Linked DNA regions of Arabidopsis thaliana. The protein of the gene in region 2 purifies or fractionates together with the protein of the main gene of each other region. This does not show direct contact. Each region holds a gene or a part of one and is shown on either strand. Other genes may lie near its edges.

Region 1 (3,753 bases), about 15 Mb from region 2:
ACCTGAAATGGTGAGACAAATAAGGTGTGGGTTTGCATAAGACCGATATATGGAGGTTGCAAGCTAAAGCCTATTACTACGTAAATTAAATGGACTTTGTGAAGAAGCTAGAGACTAGAGAGAAACATTTGGAGAGCACTAACCACAAAAACTGTGTCTCTATCATCATCACATACAGTAGCTAGGTGTTTCTGCATATTGACGAGTTTCTCAGAGCTATGCGAGAAGCCTGATATAAGAAAGAGACAATCCCTCTTTTTAGCTCACATAATCTGGATAAACAACAAAATGTAGGAGGAAACTAAAGTTTTTTTTTTGTTTTTACCTATTCTGTGGGAGTTAACCGGTAGATGATGTTCTTCGATAGGGTTCTTGACACACCGTAGAAGCTTCTCACGGCTGTTAACTGCAGTAATGCTCAGCTTTTGTAGCAGTTGCACTGCAAGACCAACAAATAGGATAAGAGACAGTAAAAACTGAGGAGGTTAAAGTAACAAAATATCAGAAAGGATGAGAGGAAAGTTGGACAACTAACACATGATTCCGGCAAATCGTTTGAAAGTTCTTGGTATACGAACATGTGGCTTAACTTCAAAAAGGACACCTTTTTCTGTTCTAACATAAACAGCTTTCAACCTCCCAGCTTTATTAACCGGACTATCCAAAATCATAAGAAGCGCCTGAAGAGGGAGATCCACTAAAGATGAGTCACAATTTGTTATAAGCTACCTAGATATGACATAACAGTTTTTAAGACCCTGACCTGATGAGTAATGTCTGGTCGGTAATCAGCCGGATTTCTGTTATTCTTTTTCAAGAAATTAGCATGATCATCCGAGTTCAGTAGCTGGTAAGTCTGCACACAATCAGTAATCACATATATTAGTACCATAAACAAACTCCGAGGCTTACTGTAATGCAAACATTCCTGCAGATTACCTTTCCAACTTTGGCAACTTCAAGAGAGGCCTTCTCAAGCACGAATACAATGCCAGACTTTTCCTTGTTAGGAGCATTAAGGACAATAGGTATCCCTCCCACAATATCCTCTGCTGCTGCAGTTGCTTCCACAGTTACTTCCTCCTCGTCATTATCTTCCTCTGCTCTTGAAGTGCTTTCTTTTTTAGCTTTCTTCGAACTTTCTCTTGCCTTTTGTTTTTGCTCAAACTTTGGTTGCTCCTCTACTTCATCTTCTTCCTTATCATACCTCTCTTCTCTCTCCTTTCTCTTGTTCACTTTAATCCCATACGGCCTCACCATCTTCCTTCAAAAATTTCTACACACAAATTTAAGTCAATCACAACACCACAGAGCTAAAGAATCAGATGCTAAAGAAATATACTACAGTGTCGATGAATTCATACAAAAACTAATCAAATTTCTTTAAGGTTATCGCTACTACAGAGAATCAACTCAATCAATCACAGTTCAGTAGAGCTTAAATTCGAAATTAAATCGAACCCTTTTATGAAAGACAGCTAAAAGAGAAAATAATCGCTTACCGGAACTTTTTGAGCTTGCGAAGAAATTCAAGTGAGCAGGCGACTGAATCCTGATAAACCCTAATTCGAAGTTAAAGGTAGGCGTTTTTTTATTTTTTGTTTTTTGTATTGTTTCACACAGATTATATAATCGTTTAAGGGCTTATTGTAGTAAAATAGGCCCATTAAGTTTTAGGGTTTTTAAAAGGCCCAGAAAAAGAAAAAGAGACCAAGAAACCTAGAATTGTGACCATCGACGTCGACTTTTGTTCTGCCGGAGAGCACGACCGCCTTATGTATTACAAGTGGTGTTTCTTTTCATTTTTATTTTTGGCTTCAATTTTTGCGTTTTCTCTGCAACTCGCCGTCAAGGGTAGAAGAATTAGGGGTTCCTGTTCTTAACTGCTTGAAGATGACGTCTTATGGAGATAGACTGAAGTCGACCTCCATTAATGGAGTTAAGTTATACAATGTTTCTTCTGCTCCCAATGTTCCTACTTGGCTTAATCCTAAGAAGCAACGAGCTCTCCGCAAAAACCCTCGTAAGTTTCACCTCTTGTTTCTGTCTCAGCTCTGAATCGTTAACCCCTTCATAAACCCTGTCTCTTAAAGGCTCGTCCTTTTTTTCTGTCTTCGATGTAAGATTATATGCAAAGAGTGGAGCTGATTCAGGAGTTGAAGTTTGAGACTGCCACTACTAGAATCAAAGCGACTCCAGACGGAGAGTATCTGATTGCTTCAGGTGCGTTTTCTTTCTTTGTAACTTCGATGCTATTGACAAGAAATAATGTTCTCTTGTGACTTTTCACTGATTTCGTTTTTGTTGAATTAGGCATATATCCACCACAGGTAAAAGTTTATGAGCTAAATCAGCTTGCTTTGAAGTTTGAGAGGCATTTGGACTCGGAAATAGTTGATTTCGAGGTACCTTTTATTGCTCCATGAGATGTGTCTTAACACCATTGATAGTAACTATCTTGTTTCTGGTTTTTTAGTATTGTGTTTTGTTGGCTCTACAGATATTGGATGATGACTTCTCAAAGCTTGCCTTCTTATGTGCTGATCGTTCTATTAATTTACACGCCAAATACGGGAAACACCACACTTTACGAATTCCAAGGTACTTTAGCTTTGTTGGTCTATGAGATATATCTTTCGTGGTCTAAAGCATTCACATATTTGCAGGATGGGGAGAGATATGACATATGATTCCTGGTCTTGTGATCTTCTTTGCGCTGCTTCCTCACCTGATCTATATAGAATCAATTTGGAGCAGGTACTTTCCAGTGAATTTATAATAGTTTAGTGTTGTGACCTATCTCAGTCTTTGTTAGAGAATGATTTGTGTTTTTTGCCTTCTTTCTGTTTAGGGAAGATTTCTTTCTCCTCTCAGCACTCAATCCCCAGCGCTTAATGTCGTTTCTCGAAGGTCTGTATACCGAACTGTCTTTTCTTTCTATTATGTTTCTTGATTTCATCTAGGAGAAAATTCGATTCTGGTACTCTAGATTATTATTGCTTACATTTGAGCACTATTTTCTTTCCAGCAACCTCCATGGATTAGTTGCTTGTGGTGGTGAGGATGGTGCTGTGGAATTTTTTGATATGAGAATGAAATCATCTGCTGCTAGAATTAACGCGGTCACACATGGTGGTGATGCTGCTGCGGTAATTTTTTCTAACTTGTGTTCCAAATAAACAGACTTTCTTAGCTTAGACGTCATGTGATTGGTGAAAATTGCATTGATTTCTGATGATCTTGTGCTTTAAATTGGCTAATAGGAGGTTACTGCTATAGAGTTTGATGACAGTGAAGGTCTTCAAGTAGCTGTCGGGAGTAGCGCGGGAAAGGTTTGATGCTATATTCATTTTTTTATCTGAAAGGTTTAAAACATTGGTAGGTCAATTTGATTATATAGATATGTTGTGTTGATTGTGCTGTTCGGTATCTGCAGGTATTCATATACGACTTGCGTACTTCAACTCCCATAAGAGTGAAGGATCACATGTAAGTCTTACTGTGTTTGTATTAACTCAAAATTCTTTGTATATGCTATATCGTTAGGTTATTTCCTCAGTGTTCATTGATTTTCTGCAAAACTTGCAGGTACGAGAGCCCAATTTTGAATATTAAGTGGCAACGGACTCTTAATACTCAACAACCTAAGTTGATTACTACCGACAAACACATTGTTAGAATATGGGATCCAAACACGGTAAGCATCAGATAAGAACAGGTTTAACCTCATAATTTTTTTGAAAAAACAAGAAA
Region 2 (3,753 bases):
TCGGCAGTATTCCATTTGTAAGTCTAACATTGATGCAACAGAAATAATATAGCATAAGCTGTTGTCAACAGTTCAAATATTTATCTATGGGCTCCTTTACATAATATTGTTTGTTTACTGGAAATTATGGCCATGTGGCTCAACAGTAAAGCTTTTTGCATTTACATCACACAAAGAAGACTAGACAACACGCCAAATGTAACAATGGAAAGGACAGTACCTTCAAGTGTTTATAAATGAAAGCCTTTGTATTCTGAAGATGGTCAAGAAGACGACCAGGAGTTGCTATCACCAAGTTTGAACCACTGGCAATGCGTTGTGCTTCCGACCTTCTGTTATTGCCACCAATAACCATGCTGACTGTCTGTGAATGATGCTTGAGTAACTCCTCCGCCACATTTTTAGTCTAAAATATCAAAATAGTAAAGTGAAAACCAGAATGGGAGGCCGCAATAACATACAACGATGCTCATACTTTACAAACACAAAGCAATATCAATGATTCAGCTAGAAGAAAAACGAGAACCTTACAGATCTGATCTACCTAGCGCATTACAACAATTACAGGACATATCTACTCGAAATGACAGCATGGTTGTTGCTACCAAGTTGAAAATGCCTTAAGTTAATAAAAACGAAAATTACCTGGATAGCAAGTTCCCTTGTGGGGCAAATAACAATCACACCAGTCCCGTTGCGAGGAGAGAAACGCTCTTTAAACAGCAACTCAACAGCCGGAATGAGAAAAGCAAGAGTTTTACCAGAACCAGTTCTGGCAGCACCAAGAACATCCTTCCCCTCCAAAAGGGGCTGAATTGATCCAGCTTGAATCTGAATAATAGCAAAAAATGATTAAGAGACTTAGAAACATACTCTACAACAAGTCACAAGACCATGTAGTGAGAAGAAGGTTAAAATTAACGTACTTGCGTCATGTACTGAAAGCCCATCTCCTTGATAGCTATAGAAGTTTGCTCAGATAAGTCGAGGGAATCAAAAGTCACATTAGTCATTATCCCTTTCCCGACAATCACAATATTCTTCTCATCTTCACCATCTTCCATTGCTTCCACCTTTTCTTCCTCTTCCTCGATTTTGCCTCTCACTTTCTTAACCTTCTTTTCACTCTTCTTCTGCGTTTCATCAGCGTTTTCCTCTACAGTGTGGGTTTTTTCTTCAGCCTTTTGCTGCTCATTCTTCTTCCCACGGCTTCTCTTCCTAACCCTCTTCTTCAGCTCTTCAACGGATGACTTGTCCGATTCAACCATGTTTCCACTTTCTTCAACCAATCAATTCTGCAGCAATATTAATGAATTTATGAATGAAAAAAACAACAAATTTGAGAGTAATTATACACCTCTAAGAGAAGGGAAACAGAGCAATCCCAAAGAAAAACAGAGTAATTAAAGCTGTACTCGATTTCATCTAGGGTACAGAGATTCGAAAAGGAACAACCACTTGAAGAGAACCCATAGATTAAAAAAACTTACTTTTAGAAACGAAGCCACTTGAAAAGGATGGGAGAGAGCTCAGAGAATCGAAGAAATTTGCTGTGGAAGAAGTTGAGAGAGAGAGAGAAACGTAAGAGTGATAACGCGGCGCGGAGACAAGGTTTAGGGTTTAACGAGCCTTTGAAGTTGTGTAATTCGTAACCTTTTATTTATTTTTTTATTTTTTAACATTTATTTCATTATACACCTAATTTCAGTAATTCGTATAATATCGGCAATTTTTTTTATATAAATAAGTATGTACTTGTGTTAAAAAAAAAATGAGTATGTGATTAACTAAAATGCACATAATTTCAGTTTTATCCGTCTATTATTTTTATTTTAAAAATACATTAGTCAATTCTTCTTTTGGCTTACAATTCACAAACTACTCCCAAAATCAAGATGGTTAACAATTCGGTTGTGAAGCCTCAGCTTTTTCTTAGTGTATTTTCTAGAAAGAAAAAAAATTGTTTTATAAAGATATAATTTTTAGGTTTTCAATGTATTTTTTTCAATAAATAATAACAAGATATTGTTATTTTCAAGAAATATTGATTGAAAATTTTATATTTATTGAATTACTATTGGGTTAGAATTATGGAAATTGTTTAATGCAAAATAGTATATTTATAATTAAACATTAATAAAATTCTTAACGTGTGAAAACTCTAAAAAATATTTTTTTTTAGAAACTGAGAATTGTCTTAGCCAGATTCATAACACGTGATCTGTCTAGAAAATGTTACTCAAAAACTTTTGGCATGGGCAACAGAGAATGATAATTAGAGATTTTAAATTGTCTAAGCTTTATTCTGAGAAGGGCTGATAGCAATGCCAATGAACCACTAATGAAGTCAAAAGGATTTATTCCAAAATTTTGAGCAGCAAAGTAAAGTGCTCTTAATAAGTTTTAAGAAAAACCAACAAAAAGAATCTTAAGAAGAGTATAAAGCTTAATGCTTTTCTCAACAGAAAACAAAAGAAACTAGGCCAAAAACGCTCTACTACTATAAGATAGAACCAAAAACAGCTTTCTTCTACTCTTCATCATTAAAGACCGTCTTCGTCCCTGCAAGACCATACAAACACACAAGTTTTAAAACAACACTAATTCTACAATGCACAACAACAAAAAAGGGGAAGAGGAGAGGAGAAGAAGAAGAAACAAACCTTTGGATGATTCCATTACACTTGGTTTGCTGGGTCCTCTTCCACGCGTACTGAAACGGCCACGAGGTGCTCCTCTATCTGAGTGACGTCCACGTGGTGCTCTATCCGAGAAACGTCCTCCACGAGGTGCTCTATCTGAGTGACGGCCACGAGGTGCTCCTCTAGCAGGTGCTCTGTTTGAGGAACGGCCCTCATCACTATCTCTTGGTCTAGACTCTTCCACATGTATGTTCCCTCCTCCAATTTCACTTCCGCTCAGTTGCAACGCCTCATCGAATCCACTCGTCAAATCTATGTAAGCAAAGCCCCTGGAAGCACCAGTCTCACGATCTGTTGGAACATGAACCCTTGTCACCTCTCCACACTTGCTAAAATGACTTCTCAACTCTTTCTTGATCTGATCATGATCACAAAAGTGGTTTGCATCAGAGTTTTACACAAATAGCTTTTGTAACATGTTAATATTGGTTTAAGAAAAGTCTAGGACAAGAATTTTACTTCATCTTCGCCAAGAGAAGAACTGAATCCTCTAACGTAAATCGTTCGACTTTGGCTTCCTTCTCCTTTGCGACCAGGATTGCTGCATATAGTCCAACAAACCAGATATTAGCCTATAAACAAAAACATACATAATCCCATCATGCTCATATGGCAAAGTAAGAAACGTACCTGTTTCGTGGAGTACCCCTCTCGTTAGCAAGATCAAGACGAACATCGCGGCCTAGTAACAATTTACCGTTCATTTCCAATGCCTACATTCAAAACATCCAAAAATGAATCCAATCATCATCGTAATTTCAATACCACTTCCATGATACCAAAAAAACCCAATATGAACTTACCTTCTGAGCTTCTTCTGGAGAAGCAAATTCAATATGCCCATATCCCTTAAAACTCCCATCATCAAATGAAGAAAGTCTAACATCGACAACTTCACCAGCTTCTTTGAAGAAATTCTCTCTGTATTTTGGGTTATAAATATCATACCACCAACATTTTATAGGAAGAACCAGAAAAATGTTATGAAAAAATGTCATTATACTTACATGTCAGATCTCGCAATTTGATAGGAAAGATTTCCAGCAAATAG

The links. Proteins that work in one complex are often made in the same cells at the same time.
Region 1: the proteins of AT3G18600 (region 2) and AT3G57000 fractionate together in Arabidopsis thaliana (co-fractionation; one large-scale study listed by BioGRID). This does not show direct contact.

The regions. Positions count from the first base shown.
Region 1 is NC_003074.8:21,090,117-21,093,869, reverse strand, and holds the start of AT3G57000 (nucleolar essential protein-like protein), read right to left. Parts: upstream 1,688-3,753; 5' UTR 1,503-1,687; intron 1,277-1,502; 5' UTR 1,261-1,276; coding exon 940-1,260; intron 857-939; coding exon 764-856; intron 681-763; coding exon 536-680; intron 440-535; coding exon 326-439; intron 230-325; coding exon 144-229; intron 3-143; coding exon 1-2. Other genes in the region: EDA7 (embryo sac development arrest 7), read left to right, coding at 1,894-2,023, 2,125-2,223, 2,314-2,405, 2,501-2,601, 2,667-2,757, 2,852-2,910, 3,029-3,149, 3,264-3,332 and 2 more.
Region 2 is NC_003074.8:6,401,740-6,405,492, forward strand, and holds the start of AT3G18600 (P-loop containing nucleoside triphosphate hydrolases superfamily protein), read right to left. Parts: upstream 1,654-3,753; 5' UTR 1,491-1,653; intron 1,296-1,490; 5' UTR 1,269-1,295; coding exon 927-1,268; intron 832-926; coding exon 646-831; intron 407-645; coding exon 221-406; intron 1-220. Other genes in the region: NUC-L2 (nucleolin like 2), read right to left, coding at 2,531-2,562, 2,664-3,060, 3,162-3,243, 3,333-3,415, 3,506-3,623, 3,710-3,753.